Canis lupus familiaris: one gene and its partner. Each later gene encodes a partner of the first gene's protein in a complex. Links are inferred from orthologs where the notes say so. Each region holds a gene or a part of one and is shown in the gene's direction. Other genes may lie near its edges. The genes, in order: DIS3L and EXOSC10.

What was found.
Region 2: DIS3L (region 1) and EXOSC10 share a complex: the UniProt entries of both Homo sapiens proteins name them as parts of the RNA exosome complex. The link is inferred for Canis lupus familiaris from reciprocal best matches to the Homo sapiens genes DIS3L and EXOSC10.

Annotation. Positions count from the first base shown.
Region 1 is NC_049251.1:31,062,906-31,066,720, forward strand, and holds part of DIS3L (DIS3-like exonuclease 1), read left to right. Parts: intron 1-1,756; coding exon 1,757-2,290; intron 2,291-3,092; coding exon 3,093-3,247; intron 3,248-3,348; coding exon 3,349-3,527; intron 3,528-3,815. UniProt on the Homo sapiens protein: Catalytic component of the RNA exosome complex which has 3'->5' exoribonuclease activity and participates in a multitude of cellular RNA processing and degradation events.
Region 2 is NC_049223.1:84,430,664-84,434,478, forward strand, and holds part of EXOSC10 (exosome component 10), read left to right. Parts: intron 1-1,565; coding exon 1,566-1,661; intron 1,662-1,974; coding exon 1,975-2,049; intron 2,050-3,368; coding exon 3,369-3,456; intron 3,457-3,815. UniProt on the Homo sapiens protein: Catalytic component of the RNA exosome complex which has 3'->5' exoribonuclease activity and participates in a multitude of cellular RNA processing and degradation events.

The DNA of each region.
Region 1 (3,815 bases):
GACATTATGCACGTGGATTCCCTGGTTGAGGCTATTTTGCATGAGGATCATGAACTTGGGGAGTTCTTTATTTGTTGTAGTTAACATTTATATCTACCTTTGAATATGTAATAAGACTATATAGTCCAAAATTCATAGATTCTAAAAAATATTTAGTGAAAGGCTCCCCTCCTATCACTTGGCCCCAGTTACCAATATCTCATGTATTTTTCTAGATATAATGTATATACACACAAATGGACATATGGTCTCTGTTTCATACACAACTGGTGACATTTTATATAATATATATATGCGTGTGTGCGCGTGCATGCTTTCAGCAGCTTTTTTATTTCTCTTAACAATACAGTGTGGAGGGATCCCTGGGTGGCGCAGCGGTTTAGCGCCTGCCTTTGGCCCAGGGCGCGATCCTGGAGACCCGGGATCGAATCCCACGTCGGGCTCCCAGTGCATGGAGCCTGCTTCTCCCTCTGCCTGTGTCTCTGCCTCTCTCTCTCTCTGTGACTATCATAAATAAATAAAAATTAAAAAAAAAAACCAATACAGTGTGGAGACTATTCCACGTTAACAGTTGCTTGTCTATGGAAATTTAGATTATTTTCAGACTTGTGCTATTACAAACAAAACTACACCGAATTACATGGAACATAGGTCATTGCACATGTTTAAAAGTATAGTATGCTTAGAGGATGAATTCCTAGAAGTGGAATTTCTGTGTCAAAGGATAAATGCATTTGTGTTTAGATAGATGTAATCAAATTGTCCTCCATAAGGGTTACACCAATTACAGTCCCACCATCAATGTGTGAGAATGCTTTCTCCAAAAGTCTTGCCAACACATGTTGCATTTTTTATCTTTGCCAATTTGAGATGAAAATGGTATCTTACTTAGGTGGTTTTAATTTGCATTTTTCCTTTTATGAATAAGGTTAAGCATTTTTGTGTATGTTTAACAGTCATTTATGTATGTATCCTTTTCTGTGAACTATTTCATGTTCCTTTCCCATTTTTTTTTGAGTTCTCCATTTCTGTAATTGATTTATAAGAACTCTTTACATATTAGGAAAATTAACCTTTTGTTTTTTTATACGAGTTGCTAATGTTGCGTATGTTTTTAAACAGTGATTTGGTGGCAAAGTGGTTCTTTACTAAATACACTTTTTTGCTAATTAACTACCGTTGAGAGCGATATGATAATTCAGTGTTACTCTATAGGATTTGAAAGGCTTGCTTTCTTCTACTTTACTAAAGAGCCCACCAGACGTGGCTCTCTCAGTGCTATGCTAGTCTAACTAAACAGGAGAACTGTAAGATAGCCTGTGTGACATTACATGTGAACTCCTTTCAGATTTGCTCAGAGCTCAGCAGAACCTAAAGTTGGTTTTAATTTTAAATAGTTTTTTTTTTAAGATTTTATTTATTCATGAGACAGAGAGAGAGAGAGAGAGAGAGAGAGAGAGAGAGGTAGAGACACAGGCAGAGGGAGAAGCAGGCCCCAAGCAGGGAGCCCGACGTGGGACTCGATCCGGGGACCCCAGGACCACGCCCTGGGCCGGAGGTGGTGCTAAACCGCTGAACCACCCAGGGATCCCTAATTTTAAATAGTTTTGTAGTAAATAGTGGAATGTTTGGATTGAGACATTGGTCCAGAAACCTGTAGCATTGTCATTTCTTTTAAGTCACATGTAGGGTCTAGTTCTCCTTGCTTCAAAAATGGAAGAATGGAGTGATAATGCTAGCATTACTGGTTTTGTAGGTATGCTGTAAGTGTGATCTGGGAGTTGGATAGAACCTCCTATGAAATTAAGAACGTGTGGTTCGGCAGAACCATCATCCGATCAGCCTACAAACTGTTTTATGAAGCGGCCCAGGAACTGCTGGATGGAAACGTCACCGTGGTTGAGGATATTCCAGAACTCAAAAACCTGGACACGAAGAGCAGACAAGCCAAGCTAGAGGAGCTAGTGTGGGCCCTTGGAAAGTTGACGGACATAGCGCGTCACATCCGAGCTAAGCGAGACCGTTGTGGTGCCCTGGAGCTGGAGGGGGTAGAGGTTCGTGTTCAGCTGGATGAGAAAAAGAACATCCATGACCTCATCCCCAAGCAGCCCCTGGAAGTCCATGAGACCGTGGCTGAGTGCATGATCCTGGCCAACCACTGGGTAGCCCGGAAAATCTGGGAAAGCTTCCCTCATCAGGCCTTGCTGCGCCAACACCCTCCTCCACACCAGGAATTTTTTTCTGAACTGCGAGAATGTGCTAAAGCCAAAGGCTTCTTCATAGATACACGGTAACTCCTCTGAGGGGGCAGAGCAATGGCAGGAGTGCTGCACACTTATTTATCTTGCAGTAGTTCTTAAAATGTGACAGTCAGATCTTTGACCAAAAATAGAAAGCTTCTTGGCTCTCTTCATTTACCATAATGTAGGTATAGAGATTAAAATTAAAGTGAGTTTATTTAGGCATAGTTTTGATCTCCTACAATTTGTAATGCAGAAGTAAGGAACCTGTTTCCCTTGGTTTAAATTCATAACCCTACAGGCAAACACCAAGTAATCCTATTTATTTCAATACTTTATTTCAAGTATTTGACCACCTACTATATGCTGGATGTTAACCACATAGGTATCAGTACATACTTCAGAAATGTATTTAAATTGATACACTTTATTTTTTTTTTAAGATTTTATTTATTTATTTCAAAGCTATGCTGTTAGGTGTATAAAGATTCTTCGTTGTTGTTTTTTTTTTTTTTAAGATTTTTATTTATGTATTCATGAGAGACACACAGAGACACTCCCTGCAGGGAGCCCAATGCAGAACTCAATCCCTGGACCCCAGGATCACGACCTGAGCCAGAGGCAGCTGCTCAACCACTGAGCCACCCAGGCGCCCCCACTTACTTTGTTTAAATCTCAAAAGCAAACTAGATTTCTGTAGTTGAAAAGAGTTGCTTCTAAAACATATCCAAAATAAAATTTCTTCAGAGTGATGAGTGAAAGATTTCCCTCTGAGCGCATTGACTTGCAAATTGTTGCTGGGGACTAATATTTTCCTGTTTTTCTTTTCTTTTTTTTTTTTTTTTTTGTCAGGTCCAATAAAACACTGGCTGATTCTCTGGATAATGCAAATGACCCCAACGATCCCATTGTAAACAGGTTGCTGCGATCCATGGCCACACAGGCCATGTCTAATGCACTGTATTTCTCCACGGGGTCATGTGCGGAGGAAGAGTTCCATCATTATGGTGAATGATAGCATTTTCTTTTGTGTGGCCATAACCTTGAGCAGGTTGTTTAAAAAAGTGTATTTTTTTGTTGATTTCCATCTTTTGGTTTCTTTTTGAAGGCCTTGCATTAGATAAATATACCCACTTTACATCTCCAATAAGAAGATATTCAGATATCGTAGTACACCGATTATTAATGGCAGCCATTTCAAAAGATAAGAAAATGGAAATTAAGGACAATTTGTTAAGCAACAAAGATCTTGAGGAATTATGCAGACATATCAACAACAGAAACCGAGTAAGAAGGGATTTTAAATTCTCTTATCCATCATCTCTTTTCCTAAGAGAATATATCAGCTTTTTTGTATGGTAGAAAAAAGTACCATATATTCTAGTGAATTAAATTCTAGCATTATTCTAACCATTGAGATAACATGAAAAACTGTAAAGTTTCTTGTCTAGCTCTCAATACATTTATAAATATTATGAAGTCACTTAATGTGGGTTTAGGAGATTTAACCATGAGTTAGATGTTTTTCCCAAAATGTAGAAACATAAAAGATCAAATTATTATCTTACCACCCAG
Region 2 (3,815 bases), on another chromosome or scaffold:
GAAGTAAAAGCCAGCAGCAGTGGGAACAGCCATGGGGACAGATCTGCCAGTGGTCCATGAGAGGCGGGTGGAGGGTTCTCTCAGGAGAAGAAACCCCCGAAGAAGGGTTGACATCTGGACGCCGGCTAATGCCTAGTCGGGAGGAGGGCGTGGGCTGCGGTGACATAGAGGCAGGACCTTCCCTTCCAGCTGCAGGGAAGGCACAGCCCATCCTCAGCCCCTGCTCAACGGGGCTGCGCGTCCCTTAATGACACAAGTCAGCGCCTCCTACACGTGCTCAGGCTGAAAAAGAGGAGGCTTTGAAAAGCATTTCTGTACAGCGCGGCTGAGTAGGGACAGTGAAGAGCAAGATACGAAGGCACCAGCACGTGGGTAGAAATGTGTTTCCCATCCCAAAGAGGGGCTGCGTCATGGTAGACAGTGGCCCCGTCTGGTCCGGGAGCGCGTGTGGCCAACCTGGGCCCAGCCGTGCTCCTGCACTCGGCAGCGGGTGGTGACGGAGCCTGTCCCAGTCTGTCCTACCCAGCGGGTGTCTGTCTTGTTTCTGCCAGGGCTTGAACTACGGGCTCCTTACAAGAGGAGGACCAGGGTGCAGTTGTTGGTCAAGATGGGTGGATACTAAAATGACCAGCTTGAAAGGAAAATGCACAGATAAAACTCTGAATAGTGCAAACAACAGATGTGCTAAAGGAAAAATCACAATTTCTGGAAAGAAAGAGAAGCAAGCATACGATCTGTATGGATAAAGACGAGTATCCAGCTTAGCACGTGTTCATGGGAGAAACAGCTGGTGGTTCAGTAGGTTCCAGGATCACAGGTCACAGCTGGTCCATCGTGCCAGAGCGCGGGGCCAAAGCCAGAAAGGCAAAATGCCACCTGCAAATGTACTACCCGAGAGTTAACTTTTTTTCCCCACTTATCACATACATTTAGATTGGGTCTTGCTTCGGTTATTCCTGAGCAGAGCAGTCCGCGAGCTTTAACTGGGCCAACGAGGTGACTCGGCCCCTAAAGATACAAGCATGAGCTTTGGGCTGCGTGAGCATGGGCGCGCTGTGCTTGGGTGTCCTGTGCTGTGTGGCGGGACTGTCGCCACGGAGAAAGCAGAAGGAAAGCACGTTCTGAACCCAGTTGGAAGCAACACCCGGTTGCCTGATTTTACTGATTCCCCATAATGGTTTCTGATTTTTAATTTGCAAGTGTCTGCTTACAACCTCAAGTTCTAGAGCCACCCAGACCCGGTTTCAGTCTTCATCCTGCCCCGTTAGCTCTCAGGCTCTGCAAGACATAACCACACTGTGCCTCAGTTTCCTCATCTGTAAGGTGGGGAGAATAATACCACATACCTCATATGTTATAAGGGCACCCTGAGAATTCGCTGGTTCAATAAATGTGTTAAGACGCCCTCCTGCGTGCTGGCCCACGCTGCTAGAGGGCCCCCTACGTGTGAGAGGCCCGAAGAGTAGCGGTTGTTCTGCTGCCGCCACGAGGATTCTGCGGCTTGCGTCGTGAAGCCACACAGCGGTCGCGGTGATAAGTTGGTCCTTTTCTGCCCGTCCCTGCAGGAACCCAGTGCTGAAGAGAGCGGGAAGAGCCCATTAACAGTTGCACAGAAGAAAGCCCAGAACATAATGGAGTCCTTCGAAAATCCGTTTAAGATGGTAAGGGAGCGCTGTGTACGCCCGGGGCTGACGGTAGGCCCAGCCTTCTGCGGCTCGTAGGGCCTCCTGCCCGGAAAGGAAGGCCAGCGGTCCTGGAGAGGGAGCTTCTGAGCCCGGCGTGTCGGTTGCGCCTGGTGTCCGGGTTGGGACAGAGTCGGGGTCCTCTAAGACGAAAGCTGCAAGGACGCCTCTCGGGTGTCCGGGAGCCGTGGCCTGGGCCGACGCACGGACCAGGCCTCCCACGTGCAGCCCACAGGAAACCCCGTCCGGGGCCTGCGCGCGTTTCAGTGACTGTTTCCTTCCATTCCTCCAGTTCCTGCCTTCCCTCGAACACCGTGCTCACGTTTCTCAGGCAGCAAAGTTTGATCCTTCGTCAAAAATCTATGAAGTAAGTGGATTTGTCACCCTTTCCGAGAGGGACTTTCTAAGACGGGGGGACTCCTTAATTATCTGAACCAGGTCTCTGTTAAGCCCATCCTGAACCTCCTGAAAAGGAATACAAAGGACACTTCATGTATAAATATAGAGAGACATATATAAGCAATGTTTCTTTTTTTACTTTAAAGATTTTATTCGTTCATGAGAGACACAGGGAGACGCACAGACACAGGTCGAGGGAGAAGCAGGCTCCCTGCAGGGAGCCCGACGCGGGACTCGATCCTGGGACCCCAGGATCATGGCCTGGGCCAAAGGTGGTTGCTCAACCGCTGAGCCACCCGGGTGTCCCGATAATGTTTTGAGAGAGGGGGGCCAGAACCTTATTCTGATTTTCAGAAGCATTTGGGAACCTGAACGGGCCTTTGGTTTTTGCGTTTGGCTTTTAATTGAAGTTTAGCCTACGTGCGGTAGGCGTTCTGTGTTGGGCGTACCGCTGGACGTTCGAGTGTTACTGTAGGGCTCTCACAGGTGACAGCTTACGTTTTAAAACACTCCGTCTTCCGTTGTTGGTTTGTTTTTAACAGCATTATGAACAAGAATAAGGAAACCCCTTCCCTGGAGCCCCATGAGATGTTCCTGGGAGCCCGCGTGTTAATCGTTAGCCTTCCTGCGGGAAGTGCCTGCTCGGGTCGGGTGGGCCTGGCCCCCGCTGCCCGGCGCTCTCTCCTTAGGCAGCAAGCGCAGGCGGAACCGCACAGGCCTCCTGTCGCTAGTGTTAGCCTGTTGCCTGTTGTCTTTAGCGGTGGGGAGTCCAGTGGATTTTTTGCCTCCTTTCTCCCCCGCTGGCTGTGGCCCGCTCCCAGGCACACCTTCCCACGCCAGCTGTCGTATCTGAGATGCGTTCTAACACCGCAGCCAAGTGAGGTATCCCGGCAGCACTCTCGCCCTGAGAAGTCCTGCCTTGGAGCCCAGCTCTACCGTCTGCTAACCGTGTCCCGTCAGACGTAGCTTCTCAGAGCCTGTTTCCGTCTCAAAGTGGGGGTGACGATAATGCCTTGTTCCCGGGATCATAGAAGGGATTGGATGAGAGGATGAGCAGGAAGGTGTCCGGCCCTGTGCTGGGAATACTGTGGTGCTTTGTCCTCTTGATCAGTATTTTATAAAAGCCAGCATGAGATTTTATTTTTTGTGTCCTCAGACTTGGAATCTGTGACTTGGAGTGTGCGTGGCTGCTAGGTTAGCACGCCCGGCATCGCCTCATTAAAAAAATAAAGCATTCCTGGGTGGCTGAGTTTTGGAGTGTTTTTGTTTTGTTTGTTTTCATTGTAGATCAGCAACCGTTGGAAGCTGGCAAGCCAGGTACAGGTACACAAAGAACCTAAAGAAACTGCCAAGGAGAAGGCAGCGGAGCAAACAGGTAGCACTCGATTTCTTGTGACTGAGCCCATCGGAGTGTCTGTCGGAGGACGGGCCTCGTACATCCTTCTGTTTGTTCCACAAAGTGCCGGCGGGACAGGGGCGAAGCACAGCCCCCGCCCCGTGCGCTGGCCTCTTCCTGGGGGATAGGGTCAGGGACCCGTGATGTACATTCCCCCAGATGGTGCTTCCGCAGGGAGCGGGGTAGGAAGTGCTCGGGGTGGGCATGAGGCCCGGTGGCTGCTTCCACATGGTGTTTACAGAAGCGGGTCTGATAATGTGACAGTCGCAAGGACCGCAGCTTCCAGGGGAAGAGTGCTCCGTCCTGTTGGCCCACCGGGTGTAAGGCCTGTGGTGGTT